5 linked regions of the Sus scrofa genome follow. The protein of the gene in region 4 interacts with the protein of the main gene of each other region in a pairwise test. Links are inferred from orthologs where the notes say so. Each region holds a gene or a part of one and is shown on either strand. Other genes may lie near its edges.

What was found.
Region 1: the proteins of RUNDC3A (region 4) and CCNL2 interact in binary tests that used the Homo sapiens proteins (3 or more experiments, as listed by UniProt). The two-hybrid records come from large-scale screens. The link is inferred for Sus scrofa from reciprocal best matches to the Homo sapiens genes RUNDC3A and CCNL2.
Region 2: the proteins of RUNDC3A (region 4) and RAP2A interact in binary tests that used the Homo sapiens proteins (3 or more experiments, as listed by UniProt). The link is inferred for Sus scrofa from reciprocal best matches to the Homo sapiens genes RUNDC3A and RAP2A.
Region 3: the proteins of RUNDC3A (region 4) and RAP2B interact in binary tests that used the Homo sapiens proteins (3 or more experiments, as listed by UniProt). The two-hybrid records come from large-scale screens. The link is inferred for Sus scrofa from reciprocal best matches to the Homo sapiens genes RUNDC3A and RAP2B.
Region 5: the proteins of RUNDC3A (region 4) and EIF3E interact in binary tests that used the Homo sapiens proteins (3 or more experiments, as listed by UniProt). The two-hybrid records come from large-scale screens. The link is inferred for Sus scrofa from reciprocal best matches to the Homo sapiens genes RUNDC3A and EIF3E.

Annotation. Positions count from the first base shown.
Region 1 is NC_010448.4:63,664,621-63,669,532, forward strand, and holds the start of CCNL2 (cyclin-L2), read right to left. Parts: upstream 3,434-4,912; 5' UTR 3,387-3,433; coding exon 3,087-3,386; exon of another isoform or gene 3,056-3,086; intron 2,789-3,055; coding exon 2,714-2,788; intron 2,453-2,713; coding exon 2,343-2,452; intron 1,166-2,342; coding exon 1,045-1,165; intron 1-1,044. UniProt on the Homo sapiens protein: Involved in pre-mRNA splicing. May induce cell death, possibly by acting on the transcription and RNA processing of apoptosis-related factors.
Region 2 is NC_010453.5:66,677,596-66,682,679, reverse strand, and holds the start of RAP2A (ras-related protein Rap-2a), read right to left. Parts: upstream 3,519-5,084; 5' UTR 3,423-3,518; coding exon 3,109-3,422; intron 1-3,108. UniProt on the Homo sapiens protein: Small GTP-binding protein which cycles between a GDP-bound inactive and a GTP-bound active form. In its active form interacts with and regulates several effectors including MAP4K4, MINK1 and TNIK.
Region 3 is NC_010455.5:93,305,939-93,309,398, forward strand, and holds RAP2B (ras-related protein Rap-2a precursor), read left to right. Parts: upstream 1-2,173; coding exon 2,174-2,725; downstream 2,726-3,460. UniProt on the Homo sapiens protein: Small GTP-binding protein which cycles between a GDP-bound inactive and a GTP-bound active form. Involved in EGFR and CHRM3 signaling pathways through stimulation of PLCE1.
Region 4 is NC_010454.4:18,926,495-18,931,557, forward strand, and holds the start of RUNDC3A (RUN domain-containing protein 3A), read right to left. Parts: upstream 3,232-5,063; 5' UTR 3,020-3,231; coding exon of another isoform or gene 2,913-3,019; intron 1-2,912. UniProt on the Homo sapiens protein: May act as an effector of RAP2A in neuronal cells.
Region 5 is NC_010446.5:29,305,482-29,309,927, reverse strand, and holds part of EIF3E (eukaryotic translation initiation factor 3 subunit E), read right to left. Parts: intron 3,045-4,446; coding exon 2,919-3,044; intron 2,093-2,918; coding exon 1,968-2,092; intron 1-1,967. UniProt on the Homo sapiens protein: Component of the eukaryotic translation initiation factor 3 (eIF-3) complex, which is required for several steps in the initiation of protein synthesis.

The sequences.
Region 1 (4,912 bases), on a different chromosome or scaffold from region 4:
TGAGATCAGCCTGCCCTGAACGTTCCTGCTTCCCAGTTGCCAACTTACACAAAAGGTGGTGTGACAACACTTGCAGCAAATGAGGAAAAAGCTCTCAACCTACAGTAAGTGATCTACCAAGACTGGGAACAAATGCTGGACAGTCAGACGAGCGAGAGAGAACACGGGGAAACTCCCAATAAAACAGGGATGGAGGAAGTGCCCGTTGTGATTCAGCAGGTTACAAACCTGACTAAATCTGTGTGAGTTCAATCCCTGGCCTCGCTCGGTGTGTTAAGGAGCCAGCGATGCTGAAGGCCGGCAGCTGTAGATCCAATTCGACCCCCTAGCCTAGAAACCTCCATATGCCAAGGGTGTGGCCCTAAAAAGCAAAAAAAAAAAAAAAAAAGAAAAGAAAAAGAAAGAAAGAAAGAAAAGAAAATAGCGCTTTTGTGTTGACAAAAAGAAAAAAAAAGATGAAGCCAGCATGCTGTGCCGGTGTGTCACGTGGGAGGAGCGCACGAACTGCGTGCTCGACCGCGAGTGTGCTGCGCTCCTGAGGAAAAGGGCTCAGGATTCTCCCGACTCCCCCGTAACAGGAAATCAGGTTACCACTAAAGCCAATGGGGTCCTGCTGGACAGCACGGGGAATTAGTTCCATCACTCGTGATGGACCGTGATGCGAAGGAACACGAGCAAAGGGATGCAGGTGTGCAGGCGGGACTAGGTCACTCCGCTGTACAGCAGAAGCTGACAGCAGTGGAAATCAATGATAAAATTGGTTTAACTGTCACTAAAACAACTTAGAAAGTCAGCTGTTGAGAAAAAAAAATGCAGAGTGACACCTCATTTTGACAAGTTCATTCCCATCTTGAAAAGCTCAAACCCAAGATGCAGTTCTCAAAGCTCTTAAAAAGACGCCATTAAAATTAACGTAACACAAGACCACGGAAAAACTTATTTCCAGGTTAGAGTGCAAACGGGACACTGGAGTCAGGGGCCCAGTTACTCCTCTTCCGTTTCCAATCTGGGTGACACGGGGCGGCAGCGGGGCCTCGTACCCACCTTGTGAGGGTGCTTCACGTGCACGCAGAAGCCCAGCTCCTTGAGGACTCGCCTTTCCGCCTTTATGATTTGATTCTTTAAATTAACGTAATCTTGATCCAGCAGGAGAGGCACAGGTTTTCTACAAAGACAGAGCACGCATCTAGTGAGAATTAAATACAACAGAATCTGTCCAACCCAGGATGGCCGCCGCCGACAGCCTCCCGGAAACAGAGTCGGCTTCCTTTAACCAGCGAGACTACCGGCTTCCTCGAACCCCAGCGCCACCCAGCTTACCCTTCTCAGGAAGGCTCTCCCGTTTTCTTTCCATTTTGTTTTGTTTTAATGGCCGTGCCCACAGCACTTGTGAATTCCCGGGATGGGGAATGGATCCAAGTCGCAGCTGCAACACTGGATCCTTTAACCCGCTGCACCAGGACCAGGGTTTGAACCTCGCCTCCGCAGTGAGCTGAGCTGCTGCGGTCGGACTCTTAACCCACTGTGCCAGTGTGAACTTCTCTCCCTGTGTTTGACTGAGAAATGCCACTGAACATATTGGAGGGTCTCACAAGCTCCTCACCCAAGGACTGCTCCTGGTTCGTCCTGCTCAAGACGCATGTGCATCACAAGTGAATGGGAAAGCAAAGGACCAGCAGAGTACAGCATTTCAATAGCAGAGGCTGTTTTATTGGCTGGAGGTTGGAAGGCCTGGCCAAGGATGCTTCTAGACACCCTACAACGCACAGGACAGCCCCCCACAAAGCATCACCCACCCAAAAATGGAAACAGTGTTGAGGGTGACAAGCCAGCTCTGGAGCATTCAGAGACTGACGGGGGCACACCAGGAAACCGATGCCAGAAAGACGACTGCCACACTTCCCTGACCACTCTTCACTCACTAAACAGTATGGGTCGGCCCCCTCTGCACCAGGGCTCCTCTGGGCACAAGTTTAAACCTCACAACCCCGAGAATGCCCGCTGGGGCTCAGCTGGTTAAGAACCCGACACTGTCCATGAGGACACAGATTCAACCCCTGGCCCCACTCAGTGGGTTAAGGGTCCAGAGATGCCCAGAGCTGCAGTGTAGGTTGCGATGTGGCTTGGATCCAATGTTTCTGCAGCTGTGCCGACGGCTGGCAGCTGCAGCTCTGATCTGCCCCCTAACCTGGGACTTACATGTGCCGCAGGTGCGGCCATGACAAAGAAAAGCGAGCAAGTAGAAGCTTACATCCTGAATCTTGTTTCAGAAACATCCGTGTAACTGGACAGCCGCGAGAACGAGCACACGCACACCTGCAACAGCTCTAACTCGGACGCACCTTTTCTCCCTCAGGTGTCGAAGCCGGTGAAACACATTGATGACGTCTCGGATCCTTCTGGGAGCTTCCTCTATCTTGGAGGCCAGGTGAACACAGGCCATTGACACATGCTGAAATGGAAGCAACGCAACACGGACGTCTGCTCCAGCGGCGACACCTCCCACAGCTTAAAACCAGCTGAGAGCAAAGAGGGGTACCGGGAGAAAAAGGCCACCTATCTACCGCACAGGGGGCTCCCCAAGCCTTTAAGGACAGCGCTGCAGGTGGTGGAAGACAAGGACTCACTCCACTGAGCAACGCGGCAAAACAACAAACCCAGGTTTCCGGTTCCCCCCTTTCTGCGGGACAGACAGACGAGGAGGAGGTCTTACCTCCATGGAATGCTTCACAAAGGACTTGGTATAAAAGAACCGCTGGAACAACACCTGCCCTGTAGCCATGGCCACCTACAGAAGAGAAAAGTTTCCATCCTTTCCAAACGCCTACTCTGAGTGTTTCATACTTAAGTCACTGAGTTTCCTGAGACTCCTGACAACCAAAAACTAAAACGTGTCCCGCTGCTTTGCCTCCCTCACTACCTCCGGGACGCGCTGGGCCCGGGGCCCGGGTGGGAATTAGGAGCGGGCTTGGGGTCGGACGTCGGCGCCGAGCCGCCCGGCCCTGCCGCCAACAAAGGGCCCCGCCGCCTCCCCCGGCGCCGGCACGGCGGTTACCTCGGCCCGAGGCTCGCGGCCGCTCCCTCACCTGCGGCAGGCGGAGCAGGATGCCGGCCGCCTGGATGAGCTCGCAGCCCACCACGCGGAGGTCGGTCTCGGTGTCGGTGTCGAGGCCACTCGACATGGACGGAGTGAAGCGCAGCTTGTCGTCAGGCAGGAGGCAGTTCTCCAGGGTGATGAGCACCCCAGAGTACAGCCGGTCCCCGATCAGCACCCCCTGCGATCCCGGGGCTGCGCTGCCCGAGCCCGGCGTGCCGGCCGCTGCCGCGGGGGCCGCCGAGCCCGGAGCCCCGGCCCCGGTCCCGGCCGTCCCCGTCGCCGCCGCCATTTTGTGCCGCCGACTCCTTCTCGGGCTCCTTCCCCGTAGGGCGGCTCCTCGCGACGCTCTACGGCCGCGACCGCCCCGCCCCGCCGCGTACCATTCGTTCGACTGGTGGGCGGCCCGAACCCGCCTTGTGGCGATTGGCTGTACCGCCTGCCCGTCAGCGTCTCACCCGACGCCGGAACCGGAGCGGGCGGGGCCGGGCACGTTACCCAGGAGGCCCCGCGGCGCCCTAGCGAGGCCGCGGCCGCGACCCGGAAGTACTAGCCGTAGACGCCGGTTCCGGTCCTGGCGCACAGCTGGTGCCGGGGTCCGTGAGGTCGCGAGGGTTCCGCTGCAGCCGCAGGCTTCTGGGGGGTCCCGCGGGGGCCCAGGGGAGGGCAGGGCCCTTGCCGGGCAGTGGGAGTGGGGGCGGCTCTCCTACCGCCGGGACTGCGTCCTGCAGGGCAGGGGTCCAGAGCTTGGGTGGCGGTGTCGGAGGTCTTCGAGGCAGCCGGCGCGGTCATTACTCTCTAGCCTTTACTGAGACCAGGTTTTGGGGCACACGTGTTAATGCCATATTCTCAAAGTTCTCGCCTACAAGTCGAGTCCATACAGAAAAGAAAGGGTAGTTTCCAGCCATTTCTCCTGGAAACAGCGGGGAGCCATCGACGGGTTTGACTTCATTTCCTCATCGGTTGTACCAGGCGCTCCCAGGATCAATGAATTTTTACGTCACCGGACAGCAGTGTTGTAATCGCGTCCGATGCGGTAATCGTTATTACTAAAGTTTTCCCAAACTTCCACCGAGATTAGTGGAAGAACCTGGGAGGATGTGGAAAAGACCGGGCGAGGGCAGGGTGGAGAGGAGATGGCAGGGTAGGCGCCTGGATGGGTGCGGGAGAACAGGAGCTGCCAGTGACTGCGCCCATGACTGAAACCCCAAACCCGGAGGGTGCCATTGGCTTTCACTCCTGAAGAGACTTAATCCTGCAGCTCAAGCAGTGCCAACTAAACCTGTCTCTCATCCCCACAGGCCACATGATAACCGTGCTCCCCTGCTCCTACCCCCCAAGCCGGCATCGCCAGCATGTCTCCTCTGTGGGCTACAATAGCACACTGTCCAGGAAAGGAAGAATTTCCTCTTCTGAAACCCCCTGGAAACAGTGTTTTCCATTGCCCCTGCCTGGGATGCTTCCCATCTCCTGCAGTGACTAGCCAGAGGGAAAAGTTTATGGCTGTAGCCAGTCAGAGCCAGACTGGGGCTGGGGACAGGGCCATGGCACCTGGGTCTGCACAGAAGGAAACCCGGGTCCTGCAGCCAGAGGGGGCGCAATTGCCAGGAACAGCACACAGCTGTCTGCCACATCCCACCTTCCTTTATGGAGATGAAGAGAGAGGAGGCAGCTCCTCCACAGCGGTGCATCTAGCACAGAATTGGGCCCCTGACACCAGAGGGCTCTCTGGATCCCCCACCCTGTTGTCTCTTCAACAGCATTTATGGAGCTCCCATCATGGTGCAGTGGAAACGAATCCGACTAGGAACCATGAGG
Region 2 (5,084 bases), on a different chromosome or scaffold from region 4:
CAATCACAAGTTTATCTGCTCTAAAATTACACTTATATCTGGGATACAATTTTAAGCAGATGGGGTGACCAGGACGAAGTTGAAGAACTGCTGGGTTTTTGAGCAATTTTTGTGTTCAAGGTTTTGGGTTGAACACCTTAAAATACATTATCTCATTTAATCCTAACAAAGACTCTGAGAGGTGAACTATACTCCGTTTCACAAACAAGGGAGAGGGAGCTTTTACAGAAGCAAGCATTTTCCCAACATCTGTACACCTCAGACCTGCACTGTCCACCGTCTGCAGTCACACGGGGTTGTGGAGCACCTGAAATGTGGCACGTCTATGTGCAGTAAATGCAAACTCAATACTAGATTCTGAACTTTTCGTATGAAAAACCAAGCAAATATCTCAATTTTTCAATACTGATTACAGGTTAAAATGATAATATTTTAGATAGAATGGGTTAACTCAAATGCATTACTAAAATTAATTTCACCTGCTTCACATTTATAAAAAATCAGCTCTTGGACATTTAAAAATTACACGTGGCCCACGCTATATTCGTACTGAAGAGTGCTGCCCTAGACCAAAGGCTAGATCACTGAATTTGCCAGTAAATGTCAAGTTCAAAGGCAGCCTCATGTAGAAGAAAGAGCACATGGAGTCATGCAGATCTTGATTTAAATCTCTTCTCCATCAAGGACTAGTTTTGGGCAAAATACCAAACCTCTCTGCACTTCGCTTATGTCATTGGCATTATGGTGATATTAAATAATCCCAAACAACTGTTGTATAGAGTATGCAAAGCAGCTAGCTGGCAGAGGCCAGGGAACAAGTACTGAATACCTGCTGCGGCAACTCATTAATTTAAAAATTCATTCCCCAAAAGAGTGGAAAATCCGCTTGTTTGAAAATCATGTTTTATTCGCTTTGAGTGGGAGAAGTTAAAGACCCATCATACTGAATGCCGCCTTAGCATAATGTATACTGTCATACACACCGATTCCCTCTCTCCTTCAGTGTTAAGCTGTTTACAATGTGCTATAGGATGGGAGGCCAGATGATGAAGTTAAGGTGAGATAAAAAACAGCAGGACACAAAGGGCCCAACTGGTACTTATGGGCACAATGGATGATTCCAGTGAAAAGAGTTTACGAAGTCCACTTCAGCTGAGCTTTTCAACTGTACACATCGGCAACTGAGACTAGTGAGTACAATGACATTTGGGCAAGGAGAATTTTATTCTTCTTTTTCTTCCTGGGTCACAGTGCAAACAAATAAATCGTTCTAGCACACTAAGTTCAGACTAACTCATTCTTGGTAACCTCTAGTAAACTACAAAATCATGTGGACTATACTATCCAATAACATTCTGTCATATTCTGTCCTGTAAGTTTGTGCCAAGAAGTTTGCCCTGGGCTTGTGACTTTATCAACGCAGGAATTATCTGTGATATGTTTAAATACAAAGGGTGGAGCAGTTGGGGCGTTTACTTTACTATTTGATGTATGTACTTGGCCTAAGATTGACATGTGACAATGTGGTAGATTGCCCTGTTCTAAAGGTTTTTTGTTTTTTAAAACAGTATGAGGGGAATTAAAGATGTGAGTCATTTAAATACAGCCTCTTAAATATCATATACTTAATAAATTTAACACCAAAAGGGTTCCTATGTTAACTATAGCAATTAACTTTAAGAAATGAGACTGAAAAAGTAAAAAGCTGTCAGATTCACAGATCTTAGGACATTGTCAGAGGCCATGAAAACATTCACTGTATTCCAGCTTGAAATCTAACATATAAAATAACACACGAAATTTTAGTTTAGCTATTAAAGGGCATATTCAATGAGTTAAAGGAGGAGGGGAGAGGACCTCCCCTTTGATCTCCTATGTGGCATTAAAAATCCGCCTCTTGTAATGAATTTTTGAGCAAAGCTTGCGTGCACCTGACTTGGTATTTGCTCTTTCAAAATGAGTAGACTCAAACTGACTAAAAATGAGATTATGTCTATGATAACACTTATAACTAGCTTTTGCAACTGTCTACAAATTTAGGGTTACTGGTACAACTGGGAAAGAAAAGCAAAATTATGCTGAATCAAAATTATTGGCAATTATTAACTAATAGTAAGAATCAGACAAAACAGTAATGTGTAATTAAATGGTAATTAGAAAAATTTGCTAAAACTCTGAACTGAGATACTATTGCATTTTTTGATGCTAGAAATTATAGGAAAAAATATAAAACAAATAGCAGAAGCCATTAGGCTGTTATATTTCCAAAATGCACACTTGCGAAAAGAGTTTGTAACAGGAAAGAGCTTATCTGCTTTAACTTTAAATTAGCTAATATTTGAGTCACACCTTTGAAGAAACTCATTCTATTTTTAAGAATGCCTCTTTTTTTCCCTTTCTTTTTGTTTCTGAGGGGTAAAGTGGCTAGATTAAAAAAAAAAAGTTAAGCCACATTCTTTAATGTGATAGTACATTCGCGCTCCTACATACTAATACTCTCTCAATCCCACAGAGCCAGGTCTGCAAATAATTTGATAACCTGTCTCTAAAGTTTCATCTTAAGTGAAGAGTTCATTTTTGTAAAACGCCTTGCCACCATTCAATCTTCTATGAAATGAGAAAGATCTCTTTCCATTGGACTTGACATTTTTACCACATTTGTGTAAGCAATTTTTGCTGTCAAATGCTGCAAAGGGAGGTTTTTTGTTGTTCCGTCTGAAAATGTCTCCGCTATACTTGCACAGCTGCCTCCTCCCAGCAGAAACCTACCCGCCCCTCTCCCCCCACTGCAAGTTTTAAACTTTGTTTCCTTTGGGGTTCTGCACAACCGCTACTAATAATATCCAAGAGACAAAGAGCTGTGCTGTGGGTTCACCGGATGCCAAATTTGAGTTGTGAAACAAAGCACTCAAATTTGAGATTCAAGATGACGAGGAGGATGCTACCAGCTAAAAATTTAGGATAAAGCCTAAGACCCCAGAGCCACCTGCCTAGACAGCTCCTCCTGCCCACAGCCACCCCAGAGCACGCGGGAGGGAGTTCTGGCCCCGGGACAGGGGCTGCCGGCCGCACCGCGAAGCCCCTTGCCCGCGCCCCCGGCCCTCTCACCGCTTCACTCGGATGATCTGGTCCCGCATGGGCTTGATGTCCTGGAAGCTCTGCTGGTTGACGAGGCTATAGACGAGGATGAAGCCCTGGCCGTTCTTGATGTACAGGTCCCGCATGGACGCGAACTGCTCGGTGCCCGCCGTGTCCAGGATCTCCAGCACCGACGGCGACGAGTCCACCTCGATCTCCTTGCGGTAGAAGTCCTCGATGGTGGGGTCGTATTTCTCGATGAAGGTGCCGGTCACGAACTGCACGGTCAGGGCGGATTTGCCGACCCCGCCCGAGCCCAGCACCACCACTTTGTACTCGCGCATCGTCCCTCCGCGGCCGCCGCCGCCGCCGCTGCCCGCGACATAGACCTACGCCCGCCGCGCTGCGCCCCCCAACCCTGCGCCGGCGGCCGGCCCCGCCGCGTCCCGCGGCTGCCCCCACCTCACGGCCGCCGCGGCCCCCCGGGCGCCGGCGGAGGGAGCAGCAGCCCTGGGCATGGGCCGAGCCGGCGGCAATGCGGCCCCGCGGGCGCCGGCAGGCACTGAGGGCGAGCAGGGAGTGGGAGCCAGGGAGCCGCCGGAGCCGCCCGAAACGCGGGCCTGCAGTGCCGCCCGCCCCGCCCCTCGCGCCTCCACGCCCAGCTCCCCGCCCGCCGCCGCCGCCGCCGCCGCCGCTCCCCTCGGCGCCGGAGCGCGCGCCCGAGCCCCAGCCGCAGCGCTGCTGGGGGCGGGGCCCGGCGGCCCGGGGCGGGACCCGGTGGCGCAGCCCCGCCCTTGCTCCCCCGTCGCCTAGGCGACCGGCCTCGCGCGCTCCCGGGAGGCTCTGCGCCGTGCGGAAGCCTCGGCCCGCGCTTAGATAAACAACCACCTGGGCCACCCAACAACACCCCACCCCGCAAGCCGCGTCGAACCCTGCGGATCCTGCGTACTGAGCACGCGCGGTTCTTCTGCCCGCGACGGGAACCGCTTCGGCCTGAGCACGCCAAGTTCAGAATTTGGCAGAGACGCGATGTTGGCGGGGCCAGAGCAGTCTCTAGGTTTTAACTTGAGGCGGGGAGTGACAAGAAGACACCGGCAAGGTCCAAAAGGAGGCCTTGGCAGGAGGGCCTTGCTAGACACCACCCAGCCTGTGAGCTTTGGTTTTGTCCTGTATAAACATAACGAAAAAAGGCTTTGTTTAAAGGACGAGCATAAAACCGAAGTGAAGCTTTGTTTTAAGCGTCAAGACACAGAGGGAAAAGTGACAGGCCCTCATCCTGCCCACTGCCAGAGGCGGCAAAGGCCAGCGACCATGCGGAAGCCGGGCCCACGCCCGGTGACGTCGCCGGGAGTCCCGCCCACCTCCCCCCAGCCCCGCCTTTCTTCAGCGTCTGCTGGAAGTCGAGCTCTTCCCACGCCCTGTCAGCTACGGGCGCTTGGAAAACTGGGAGAGCGAAGCCCCAGGCGCAGCCAGAAGGCCTGGGGACAGCTCATAGCAACAGCCAGCCGGGGCACCTAGTAGGAAGCTGGGAGTCGTTCCAGCCAACCAGTGCACGCCTCTGGACCCATGGTACCATTCTCGGCCAATAGAGAGCCACTTCATACCACGTGATGCCCATCCATCAGCCAATGGGGGGAAAGCCTAGTTGCAGGCTCAGCCCTCCCACCTCCCACGCACGCTCTGCCAACCAACCGCAGGTGAGCTGGCGGATGGCGGAGACTTGAGCTGAGCCAACCAGAAATCGCGACTCCCTTGCCCCCAAGGGTGGGTGGAATGGAGACCCGGGGTAGGGCTGGTGGGTTTGGGAGGGGTCAGTGATTGAGGGACAGGTCGTTGCACCCTACGTTGGCAAGGGAACAAGATGTGTTGGAGGCGAGAACCATGGGTTTCGCTTTTAACGTCGTCTCGGTGGCATTCTGCCTAAATGACGGACCCGGAAATAGTGCTGAGTGATGTGGGCTGAATCGTGGGTCAATCGAGAAAACAGGGACTCTTGTCTTGAGGGT
Region 3 (3,460 bases), on a different chromosome or scaffold from region 4:
TTCGAAAACATGGCCCTGAGTCACCGCAGGACTGAGGGAACTGAAACCAAACGTTAGCACACCTCCTGGTTTGTCCCTCCGAAGGGATGGTTAAACCAGTGGGAAGTGGCATCGAATAAAAAAGGCACGATACAGAGACAGGTTGACGCAGCTCGGTCCCTCCCACTCTTATCCCTGGGGCTCACGCTAACAGCATTCAATCTTTTGACAGGTCTTGACATCTCTCCTCCGCGAGGAAGGAGAGAGACTTGGAGCAAGTCGAGGCATCTCCCTGGTACCTCCCGTGATTGTGAGCCCAGCCCAGTCTAGCGAACTCCCGCCCCAAAGCAAAGACGTTTTCTAAAGGCAAGCCCGGGCATTCCCCCACCCGAGTGAGATGAATTCATAGTGGCCCATTTCCACATCCTAGCCCCTCCCCCACCCTGCTAAAACAAACAAACAAACAGAAAAACCACCAAACTTGGAAACTTTGCTGTTTCTTGAAGACCAAGAACTGTAGCCAGCTCCCTTCAACCGACTGTCGTGACTGGGCACCAAGAAGTTAGATTCTCTCCAATACACCAACAAAGGACTATATTTAGCTCTGAGATCTCCGCCTAAATTCCTTATTTTTTTCACTCTTAGCTTCAAAACGACTAGGATGGGGAAGTGGGAGGAAGGGGGCGGGGAGCAGCAGAGAAAGAACAGCTGTGCCTCCGCCTCTCAACTCAATCTCTATAAATAACCAATCACGAGCGGAGTCTACTTTTTAGCCAATGAAGCAGCCCAAACTGATAAGATCTTGGCAGTAGCCAATGGGAGAGCATTTGAGGGTGTGAGATTTGCGCCCCGGGACCAATGGGTCCAGAGTCTGGGAGAGGTAATTTGAGCTAGAGTGTGGGTGTGTGGTGCACAAGCTTCCTACTTCCAAGCCCCCAAACCTGCTCTGTGCACTGAGCATGCCCTGACTAGCTGCGGGCGCCACCGCCGCTTTGGATAGGACTGTAATCCGCTCTCCAGATTTTGGCCCCAGCTGACTGGGGCGGGGGAGGGGGCGAGTGGGGGGGCGGGGTGGCCCGCGGAACCCTAGCCCGAAGACAGCTCTGGTTAGTAGAGGCAGCCCTTTCCCTAGTCGCAACAGGGTTTCAGACCCAGCATTCCCGTTTTCTTTGTCCCAGAGATGAAAGTGCGGGAGAGTAGGCCAGAGAAGGTCGGGTAGAAAGAGCTGCGCCTTGGGTAGGGGAAGATGGTCTTCCCGCCAAACACCCAAACGTCCTTTGGGTCTCAATCCCGGGAGACACACCCTCCGGGGGTCTGGGAAGTGGGATCTACGGGCTCTGAATGATGCGAGGCAAGAGCCCAATCCTCCCTATTCCCAGGGAGGAGTGAGGGGGTGGCTGCCGCACCCACTCGCTTCTCGAAGAGCCTGAGCCCCTATGTATGAACCCAGAGCGGCGAAAGAAGGCTGCCTCCAACCTCCCACTGGAGCTCTCCCAGCCCGCCACAAACACCTACACATCCCGGCACATTTGTCCTCTTGCTGGGAGACCAGAGCCTCCGGCGAATCCGCTAGTCCCGACTCAAATCGCGAGCCCCACCCACAACCCCGCCTCCGCCCGGCTCCCTGGAAAACCAGGAGCAGCGGATCCGGCGGGAGCGGCCGGCGGCGGCGCACTGGGCATGCTCGTCCGGGCGGGGAGGGCCGGGCTGCGCGCGGCGAGTAGGAAGCCCTCGCCCCGCGGAGGCTGAGGAAGAGAGCTCCATGGGCCGCGGCGGTGGGCGCACGCTCTGCGGGGACTCATGCCACGCGCGTCCCGGCCCGACGCGCAATTAGCTGCCGCCTCCGCAGCCCGCTACCTCCGCCGCCTCCTCGCCCTTCTGGGCTGCCGCGACGAGAAGCTGCAGCCTTCGCTTTGCACAGGCTGCCGGCATTGTCCTCCGGTTCCGCCGCCCAGGCTGCCGCTGCCGCTGCCGCCGCGGGCTGCTGCGGGGCCCCGGACCTGCGCCCCAGGGACGCGCTGCCGCTGCCGGCCGGCCCGGCGCCCGGCCCCCGCTCGGTGATTTCCGCGCTCTGCGCTCCTCGGCCATTTCGCTCCTGAGTTTTTCCTGCGGAGCTGAGGAAGGGTAGAAGTCCAGCCGCCAAGCCCAGCCTTACTACGGCGCGCAGCCCCGACGGGCGAGCGCCGACGGAGCCATGAGAGAGTACAAAGTGGTGGTGCTAGGCTCGGGCGGCGTGGGCAAGTCCGCGCTCACCGTGCAGTTCGTGACCGGCTCCTTCATCGAGAAGTACGACCCCACCATCGAGGACTTCTACCGCAAGGAGATCGAGGTGGACTCGTCGCCGTCCGTGCTGGAGATCCTGGACACGGCCGGCACGGAGCAGTTCGCGTCCATGCGGGACCTGTACATCAAGAACGGCCAGGGTTTCATCCTCGTCTACAGCCTCGTTAACCAGCAGAGCTTCCAGGACATCAAGCCTATGCGGGACCAGATCATCCGCGTAAAGCGGTACGAGAGAGTGCCCATGATCCTGGTGGGCAACAAGGTGGACTTGGAGGGCGAGCGCGAGGTCTCTTACGGCGAGGGCAAGGCCCTGGCCGAGGAGTGGAGCTGCCCCTTCATGGAGACATCGGCCAAAAACAAAGCCTCGGTGGACGAGCTGTTTGCCGAGATCGTGCGGCAGATGAACTACGCGGCGCAGCCCAACGGAGACGAGGGCTGCTGCTCGGCCTGCGTGATCCTCTGAGGCGCCCGCGGCTGCCGCGCGCCGGCCGAGCTCTGCGCACAAAAGCCAAACGCACCCGACTCTAAATGTGATTTCTCTTCTTGCTTTGAGATTGGAGACGACTTTGCATCGGCCGGGGTGTCCCGGGAGCCCGGCTGGCCCCCGTGGCCATGTCCCCTGCCTCTGCCCCGTGTCCGAGGGGGTGTGCCGTTCTGACCATCCGAGACCCGATGGAAATGTGGCTCTTTGCGGCATGTACGTTTCTCATTGATTTTGGTTGACGCGTTATTTCCCCATTGACGCAGCCGTTGGGGCGCTGTATTGGCAGCTTGACACCGGCAAGCGAAAGTTTCAGCCTGGAGAAAAAAAAAAAAAAAAAAATGGGGTGGGGGAGGAAGAGGACGGGGAGAAGGTTGGAAAGGGGGAGTTTTTTGTTTTTGTTTTTCTGTCCAAAACCGTTTTTCTCGTTCCAAGTTTTAAATACTCGGAAGGAAGTCCGGGAGAACCAAATGAAGGAGCAGGAGGAGAGGAAAAAACTTTTGTTTTTTTTCCTCGTTTTCCAGGAGTAGCTGGAAATTAAGATCGGGTTCCTTTTCTGCCAGCTTGGAAGGGCAACCCCGTGACTGATTATGATTCTGAGGATGTCTATGCAAAGTTGGATTCTTGTTACAGTGTATCCAATCTGAAGTATTGCACATCTGAACTGGGACTGTTAACACTGATGCCAATACAGTGTGGGGTGCCAGAATGTGTCTG
Region 4 (5,063 bases):
CTGGCTTCTCAGCGAGGAAGGAAGCCAAGGGACGCCCATGGGGCTGAGGGACTGGAGCCCAGCAGCCCCCATCCCTCTTTCCAGTCCTGCTTGGAGCTCCGGCCTCCTCTGCAGTCCCCACGCCTGCAGTCACCACCTGCCATTGCTGCAGCGGGGTGGGGCAGGGGTGAGGACGAGGCTCCCAACGCCCCGTTATTGTCCCACTGTGGGTGGCACAGCAGGGGCGAGGTATCCAGGGATGCAGGGGCTGCTTGGAACTGTCCCTTTTTTTTCTAAGCTCATCAAGCCCTGCAATGTGCCAAGCACTCTGCCTGGGTATCTCATCCATCCCCACGGCAGACCTGGGAGGAAGGTCTCCTCATTATCACCCACATCCCCATGTTACAGGCCCGGTAGCTGAGGGTCCAAGAGCTTGAGTGATCTGTTCAAAGTCATGCAGCCTGTGGAGAGTCAACAGGTAGGGCTGATTCCAAAGCCCTCGCTCTTTCTGCTACATCTGTGGCCTCCTGGTGGCTGCTCAGTAGAGGCCCCTGAGCAGCCCCTCCCTCTTCCAACCTCTGTCCTCTACTCAGCAGGCTCCAGCCCTTGAGCACTGGCCTCTGGGGCTCTTGGACTAAGCCCAAGGACCTCCCTCCCTTCCCTTTGGGCTTGGAGTTAGTCTGGCCTGAGATCAGAGCCAGGTCAGTGCTGGGTTGCACTAGGGAGAGGCAGCCTGGGTGAACAAATCCTGTGTCCTTGTGATACCGATGTGGCCTTGGACAAGTCATTTAATCTCTCCAAGGCCCATTTTCCCAAATGCAGACAAGAATAATAGTATTTGTCTTATCAAAATTTGGTTCAGATCCCAAGACATATCTGGAAGGTGAGTGTACAGGTCATTGGCCAGGGGTGGTGAGGAGCCGGGCCTTTAACGGGATGGCCAGAGGAAGCCTGAGTTTAAGGCATTATCTGGGCTTCATTGTGCAGCCCCTCCCCCGTGATTTCTTCTGGTCTTTTGGGTCAGACCTCAGTGGGGGCCTGCAGCCGGTTTCAGCATGGCAGCCATCTGCCATCTGCCCTCAGGGGTGCTGCAGAACTGGTCATCGCCCCCGGGAGCCCTGTGGTGTGTTCCCTGTTAGGAGGTGCAGTGGCTGCTGCAGGTTGCCATGGAGACAGGGCAGCCAGGGCCCAGGGGAGTCCTTGGCCTGCTAAAGGGAACTGTTCTGGGAGCTGGAGGCAAACCACATGACAAGGATGAGGCAGCAGGGGCCTGAGAGGTTTCTGAGCCTTTGTCATGCTTCCGATCCCCCCCGGCAAAACTCCATCCCTCACACCCCAGCTCTGAGCCCACTTCCAATCCACCAGAGCCTCTGCTTCTCCAGCCTAGGCCAAGGGGAGTTCCCTGCTTCCCCACACCCTCAAGAGGCCCAGGTGTCCTGGCAGGCAAGAGAAAGGAGAGGAACCTAGGTGTTGAAGAGAGAGGAGAGGGCCAGGAAGGATGTCCTCGGCATGAGGCTACGGGGCTAGGCTCCTCTGGGCTTTCTGTCATTACCATTCCTTGGTGGGGCTGTTACAATGTTACAATGGGGATGAAGCGCCCAAGGCCCAGAGTGGTTAGGAGACTTCCCCAAGTTTGCACAGCTAATAACTGTTAAAGTAAGAGCTTGAACCTAGGGCCATCTTTATTTACACCAGCCGACAGGGTTTGAGGGTGAGCATAGAGGCAGAGGTTTGCATTTGGGCTGGGCCATTGCTGCACTCATTCCTGCTACAATATTCTGGGTGTTTTTGCAGGGGTCCGATGTGCACAGCACTGTGCTAGGCCCTAGGGATATGATGGTGTGAGACAGACGCAGTGTGGCTGCGTGTGTGCCCAGAACCCTGGAAGGAGCTGTAGAAGATGGGAGCCTGGGCGTCAGGTGGGCACTGAGTCCTAGGGGAAAGAGCAGGGCCAAGGCCTGTGTGCAGGCAGGTGGGGCTGGCCAGGGAAGACAGCTGAGCTCTGCACTGGGAGCACCCTGCCCTTGGAGGTGGCATAGGGGAGAGGGGAGGTTGCAGATGGAGAAGGCAGCTGGCATGGGGACCCAAGGGGAGAGATGAGGGCAGGTGAGGGCCGAGGGACAGGGGCTGAGCTACTGGCCATTCCTGGCTTCAGGGCAGGGCCGGGAGGGTGAACCACTGCAGGCCTGGGAAGTGGGAAGGTTCATTTCCTGAGCCTCAAGAAAGCGGGCAAGGCTTCTGAACACTGCGACAGCCCCACCCTCAGGGACCAGTGGCTCTGCCCTCCCAACCTCCTCCCGGCCAACCCAAGAGACCCAGGCTTCTGTGGTCAGGCCCTCAGTCCTTCCCAAAGCAGAGCTAGTGCCCCACACTCTTCACTGCACTGATTCGGGGACATTGCCTACATGCCCAGTTAACCCTGCCCTAGGCTGCAGCTGCCCAGACATGGAGGAAGGTACATCCCTGCTCCAAGATTTAAGCATCAGCATCTCCACGGAAAGCCCCACCCCAAAGAGGCCAGGCTGACGGGGAGAGTGAGGGTATGCTCGGAGGGATACCCCCTGTCCCCTCGGTTCTCCTCAGCCCACCCAGCTCCCGCCCCCAGCAAGGGAGCCAGCCATCCTCACCCCTCCCCCTCGCACACAATGTCACTTCCTGGTTCTACAGGAAGCTGCAGTGCTAATTAAACACCCCTAACCCCCCGGGCTGCAGGCTGAGCAGAGGCCTGGCTAGGCCTAGAGGGGTAGGCATCAGACCTCCCCAGGCCTGGCCCTGAGGACAGTGGATGCGCTTCTCTTAACCTTGCGCTGCCTCCCTTTCCTCCGCGGCTGCTGTGCAGCCATCCTCCCGCGGGCACTCTCAGGCCGGGTTTCGGCAGCCCACCCCCACGCCTCTCCCGGACCACCCCACCCCCGCCCGGCGGCGGCGCCCACCTGCACACGGTGATCAGGTTCCTACGCTCCACGGCCACATTCCGGGAAGATGCTTTCTTGGAGGACAACCCCAGAGCCATGGTGGTCTGGACAAAGCTCGCTTCCATCCAGATGTGTGGCCACTGCTGCCGCCGTCAGCTGCCCACCCGGCGCCGCGGCCCCCCCCAACAGATCACGGCTGGGCCCTCTGCCCGCCGGGGCCCCTCGACCCCTCCAAGGCCATCCTCTTGCCGCTGCGCCTGTTGCCCGGCCCCCTGGCTCCCTCCCCAGGCGGCGATTCCGGAGCAAAACAAGGCCGGGGAGGGAGCTCTCCGAGGTGCTGAGCCGGGGCGCGTCACCCCCCCCTCCCCTAGCCTCCCGCCCCCCCTCGGCAGGTGACGTCAGGGCCCTCGGGCCCCGCCCCCCGGCAGGCCGGGGACCAATCCGCAGAGGGTGCAGGATTTGGGGGCGGGGAGGGAGAGGAGAGCACTGGGCCTCAGGGAGGACTGAAGGGGGTCCCCGGAAGACGCAGCGTTTGGAAGGAAGAAAAGGGGCATCTGGCTTGTCCTCCACCCCCGTGATCAGAGCCCGGTACCCCACGCTTCGCATCTCTGAGCTCCGACCCCTCTACCCCCTTGTTTCTTATCTGCGATCAGTGGGGTCTAGCTCAGATTTCGCCCCCTGATTTCTCCTCACCTCCTGTACTCTCGTCTCAGCCTCGGCCCCCACCCGTTCAGTGTCGGCATTCCCAGCGAGGCCAGAACCAATCCTAGAGACCAAGGAGCAGTGAGAGCCTGCGTGACTGTCTGCGCCCGGGGGGGAGGGGGTGGACTTGTCTGCAGCAGCCGGCTTCTAGGGTGGGGGATGGGAATCCAGCCTATGCGGTAGGAGCCCAGCGCCTGGGACTCCTCTGGACAGTGAATGGAGCAGATTGGCAGCTAAGGGCCTGGGCTCTGTGGAGGTTCCCAGCCGCAGAGCTGGTGCCCAAAGTAGTAGGAAGGCAACTGCTCCTTCTCAGGGTCCTACGTCCTCACACCCCCAGGTGGCTTGAGGGTTAAACCCCTTGGCTACCAGAATTGCTGCAGGGTGCCATCAACTCTCTTTGCAAGGCCAGAAAAGCTGGTTGCATGTTTTGGGGAAAGATGGGGAAATGGAGGCACCGGCCGGCTTCCCTGCCACCTTTCGCTCTTTCACATCTCCACTCGCATCTGCTCCATTCCTCTATTCAGCCTGTTCTCTTTCACCCACTCAAATGTCCACCTCCCATAGAACGCCTTTCCATGTTGATAACAAGGGCTTCACTCAGTTTCTCCATCTGGCCTCAGAAACATCCATTCCCAGGCTCAGCTCATATCCATTCACCAACTCTGCCCATGCACTGGATTTACTCTGCTGGCTGGTGGATGGTCAGTATCTCTGCGTTGATTCAGATGTGCAGCTACATCTGACTACGACCAGCAGGCAAGGACCCTTTTCTAGCGCAGAGAAGGAGGTGAAAGACCTGCCAAGGTCCCCAACCTTGGTCTGTCTCCCTGGGGGCTGGATCTCCTGCTCAATTCTTGGCTTCTGGGACCTCAGAGTTAGTCTTCTCTGTCCCTCCTCTCTGCCTTTTCCCTCTTGCCTCATCTCTAGAAGCCCCTCTTAACATCCTCCTGCCTCCAGACCCATCCCCAGGGGCAATCACAATGTTTGTTCTTTTGTTTTTCATTGCAGGATATATCAGATGCCCAAAAGAGCACCTAAAACACATGTGTGCAGCTTAAAGAATGTTTCCAAAGCACAAGCCTGGGATGTAATCTCAATGATCAAGAAATAGGACATTGAGGGCGTTCCCATCGCGGTGCAGCGGTTAACGAATCCCACTAGGAACCATGAGGTTGCGGGTTCGGTCCCTGCCCTTGCTCAGTGGGTTAAGGGTCCGGCGTTGCCATGAGCTGCGGTGTGGGTTGCAGACATGGCTCAGGTCCTGTGTTGCTGTGGCTGTGGTGTAGGCCGGTGGCTACAGCTTCAATTCGACCCCTAGCCTGGGAACCTCCATGTGCCACGGGAGTGGCCCTAGGAAAGGCAAAAAGACAAAAAAAGAAAAAAAAGAAATAGGACATTGCAAACACCCCAGAACCTCCACTATGCTCCTCGCAGATCTCATCTTCATCCATCCCCATAGGAGGTAAC
Region 5 (4,446 bases), on a different chromosome or scaffold from region 4:
TGAATCTATAAGGGATATTTGAATGCTAAAAAGTATCTCTAATTAAAAAAAGAAATTACTATAATGCTACATAAATTATAAAATTTTCTCTTGTAATTTACAATTAAAATTTACTGCTGGAATGCAGGCAAATATCACACACTGTCTTCTTTCCCAGTTAATACAGTGGACATTTTGCTTCTCTTTTTTCAAGGAAAAACAAAAATAATTTTCTGTTACAAAAACTTCTTTGCCCATGTTCAGTTTTTTGTTTTGGGGGACAGGGGGCACATCAACAGCACGTGGAAATTCCCTGGCTAGGAGCCAGACCTATGCTGCAGCTGTGACTTGCGCCACAGGTGGGGCAATGCTGGATACCTTATCCTGCTGTGCCACAAGGGAACTTCCTGCTCATGCTCAGTTTTAACAAACTGGACCAGTATGCCATGCAAATACTGACTAAATACATTAGTACTAAACTTCAGTTATAATGTTATTTCAAAAATAAACTTCTAATGAAAGTGCTTCTATTTGCCAGACTGAGGAGAACATTTAGCATTTAGTGCAGAGAACACAATTTACACCATTTAAGAATAAGAATGGCTCCCTGTTTCTACATTAAAGAATTACTGGCACTTCTTGGTTGGCAAGTATTTTTCCTTTGTATCATCACCAATAACTTAATTTCTCTTAAATTCAAAGTCTTCATGGTTATGCTAACAACTTACCTGAACAGGTCAAATATTTTAGTCTTAAAAATCTTACTAAAATGAGCACTTAAAGAACATGCTTATTAAAGTGACTTGGTTTAAATGATTATATTTCATCAACTTATGTAAAAATATTGCTAAAGTATTATTACCTTATTTTCAAGACTTAAAAAATTACTAAAAAAATTAAAAATAAGCTATTCCGTCTATTCCTAAACTTTACTTTTGTAAATATATATGCATTTTAGGAAAAAAATGTTAAAATCAAATCTTAATTTGACAAATAGCAATAAACAAAATCAAGTGAAATGTAATAGGATCTCTGTCTTCATTTGGGTTAAAAAGAGCAAAAATATGGCTCTAAGTGTTCATGTGAAATTTAGTCAACGATATATTCAATAAGTCCTATTAAGAACCAATTGTTAAACTATGTTACTGCAAGCCTGGGCTTGCAGTATGTACTGGACATAGGAGCAAAAATCCTAGAAGAAGCTTTCAATTTTAAAGATTCAGATTTTAAGAAGGCTGTGGGTAAAGTGGCGTGGCAATTATCTAGAACAGCAGCCAAAATATTAAAGAATTTGAAAAACTACATTACTATACAATTTGATAAAACCAGAGATATTTAGCCTGAAGGAAAGAAAGATAAGTAAAATTATCCTCACATATCTCAATTATTTTCATAGAGCAGTCTTGTTTTCCATTGTTGCAACCAAAGAAATAAGAAATAATGGGCAGAAGATTCAGAGGCACTGACCTTCCTCAGCTGAAAGAATACATTTTTAAAAATGATTTCTAGTTAACAGAACAGTCTAGTTCATAAAGCAGTGAATTTCTTATCAACAAAAGCTGAATGATGGAGTAAAGATGATATAAAGGGATTCTTTTGGAATGTAAATCTTCCTTTCAAATAATATGCCATAGAGCCTTAATTCTAAAGCTTTAATGTATATGAGTTACCTGGGTTCTTGTTACATTACAGATTCTGATTTAGTTTCTCTAATATAAGGCCTGAGATTCTGCATGATACCGATGCTGCTGGCCCATGGACAATACTTAAATAGCACTTTCAAGGGCTTAGAGTATACTTTTGTCAAGTAATTTACTTAAGAGTTACATGTAAGCTTTTTCAATTAACAAGCAAATCTACCACATGAAGAGGGGAAAAAAATGTGACAATAAATTCAAATGCTGGACAAAAGTTTATCTTAAAAGTTTTTAAAAAATGCATTTGATTTCATATAATTAAAGCCAAAATTATACAATGAAATAACTTACTGTGGCTGGTAAAGGAAGAGATCGATAATGTTATCACGTCCTTTGGGGTGATTGAAGAAAACAAACAGAGACCAGTGAATGAGCCATGTTCGCTGCTGAAGAGACTGAAGTGGAGAACTCACAGACTAAAGGGTTAAAAATATATATACACAGGAAATATTATATGAGAAAGAGGAAAGGGAATAAACATTGCTGACCTCAGAATTTCAGTTAAAATGAGAACCTTCTAAGGTTATGATTGAATTCCAATCCCTTAGACCATTCTACTTTCTGCATGACCCTTGACATTCAAAATTTCTCTGCCCCTCAAACACGAGATTCAATAATGTCCACTAAGCCATTTTTTATTTATTTTTTGCCCCCCCCCCCCTTTTTTAGGGCCACATCTGCAGCATATGGAGGTTCCCAGGCTAAGGGTCTAATTGGAGCTACAGCTGCTGGCCTACGCCACAACCACAGCAATGCCAGATCTGAGCCACATCTGCAACCTACACCACAGCTCACGGCAATGCAGGATCCTTAACCCACTGAGTGATGCCAGGGATTGAACCCAAAACCTCATGGTTCCTAGTCAGATTTGCTTCTGCTGCGCCACAACTGGAACTCTCTCCTGCATGGGATTTTCACTAACGAGTGACACTAACCAGTACTGTCTCATCTTCACTGGCACAAGTTAAAAAAAAGGCACTATAGCTCTAACAAAAAAGGAAAATTAAGTTACTTTTTCTAAGAGCCAAAAGAAGTTTGACAGCTTCCTTCAAGGAGATTCAGTGAAACTTATCAACTCACTAACCTATGATGATTTTTACGTCAGGTCAACATTTTTAGTTTAGTCTCTCTCCCTTCCTTTTTAAAGTACACAGTGTTTTCCTCTAAAAAAAAAAAAAAAAAAAAAAAAAAAGAAGGATACAAAGAAATTTCAGAAAACTACCCCGAAAATGTGTAACTCACATTATTATCTATGGTCTCTTTTAGTCGGGTAAGGTCTTCCATGGCTGCATCCCAATTTTGCATTAAGATTTCAGAGGCCAGTTTTCCCCAGAGTGAACTCAAAGCATTTCTATCCGTTGCTGGAACCTGTGTAAGCAATCATAATTAGTTATATTCTGAATACTCTGGAGAAAAAAAGACAATGCATATTTTATACCCTACCTATTCATCTAGCCCACCGTAAGACCTGTAGTTCTCTTCCTCAAACTCAATATATAAGTCCTTATCTGGATCATCCTGATGAAATGGATTCAAACAGCTTTCATTTAACTTAATGTACTAAAAATTCTCAGGTCTTTGATATTCAGTCTAGATAAGAAAATAAGGAGTAACTTAAAAGGATACAGCACCAGTGTTTCAGTGTAACCCATTTCAAATAATCTATATATACAACTAATCAAATTTTAGGAACCAAAACAAACAAAGTTAGATTCAGAGGCGATTTGTTACTAAAAATTCATGGAGTGAAGAAGAAGAAATCAAGTCTTGTGGGTCTCAATTACAATTCAGAAAAATTAGTTATTTCCAGAACAAAAAAATTTCTAAATTATGACACAAATGGAGGAGTTCATGGAAAGAAAGAAAAAAAGGGCAGGTCTAACAATTAATTATCAAAGGTATGTGTACTGAGCAAGAGAAATTCATTTTCTCATATAATCCTAAAAACCTGAAAGATAAATAATAATTTTTATCCCCATTTTAAAGAGGGGGAATTGATGCATAGAGAGAAATAATAATTTTTATCCCCATTTTAAAGAGGGGGAATTGATGCATAGAGAGTGTAATTTGCCCAAAATTATACTTCTAATCATGAAAGCTATTTCATACTAAAGTCTTAAACTATGAAAAAGGAAGAATAAGGGCCACCCTATCTCTTCTGGCCACTGGTGGGAGAATGTTATAAACCCAAATACCTACAAGAACTGGGTTAATAACAAAACTGAGAGAAGCAGAACTTTCGAAACAAGGCAAAAAAAAAAAAAAAAAAGGGGGACATAATAACTGAACTGTGCTAAAGCCGCAGAAGCAAGTGAGGGTACTGCAGAGAGAATACATTTCTGCACTCAAGTTAAAATTTTGAATTTGATTTTTCACTGAAGCGCTTACATGGTGATACAGTTGTAAAGCCCTATTAGTACATATTGTAATTATAAGTTAAATAAAATTGTACAGGCAAGACTGAAAATACAACCACCAAAAATTCTGGTTCTACCACTTAAAAATAGCTAAACTATCTGTGCTTTAGCTCCCTCATCTATAAAATGGGGAAAGTAAGAGAATCTACCTCAGTTATACAATTTAAATGACATAAAACATGTAAAAAGATTACAAAATCAACTGATACATAATGAAAGCTTAGGAAATGTGACAAAATGATAATGAGAATAGAAATGATAATATCAGAATACTGCAGGCTGCCTAAACTATGAGGACCAAAACCATACCTAATTCAGACTCTGCCTATATGGAGATTCTTCCTTTGATGGCA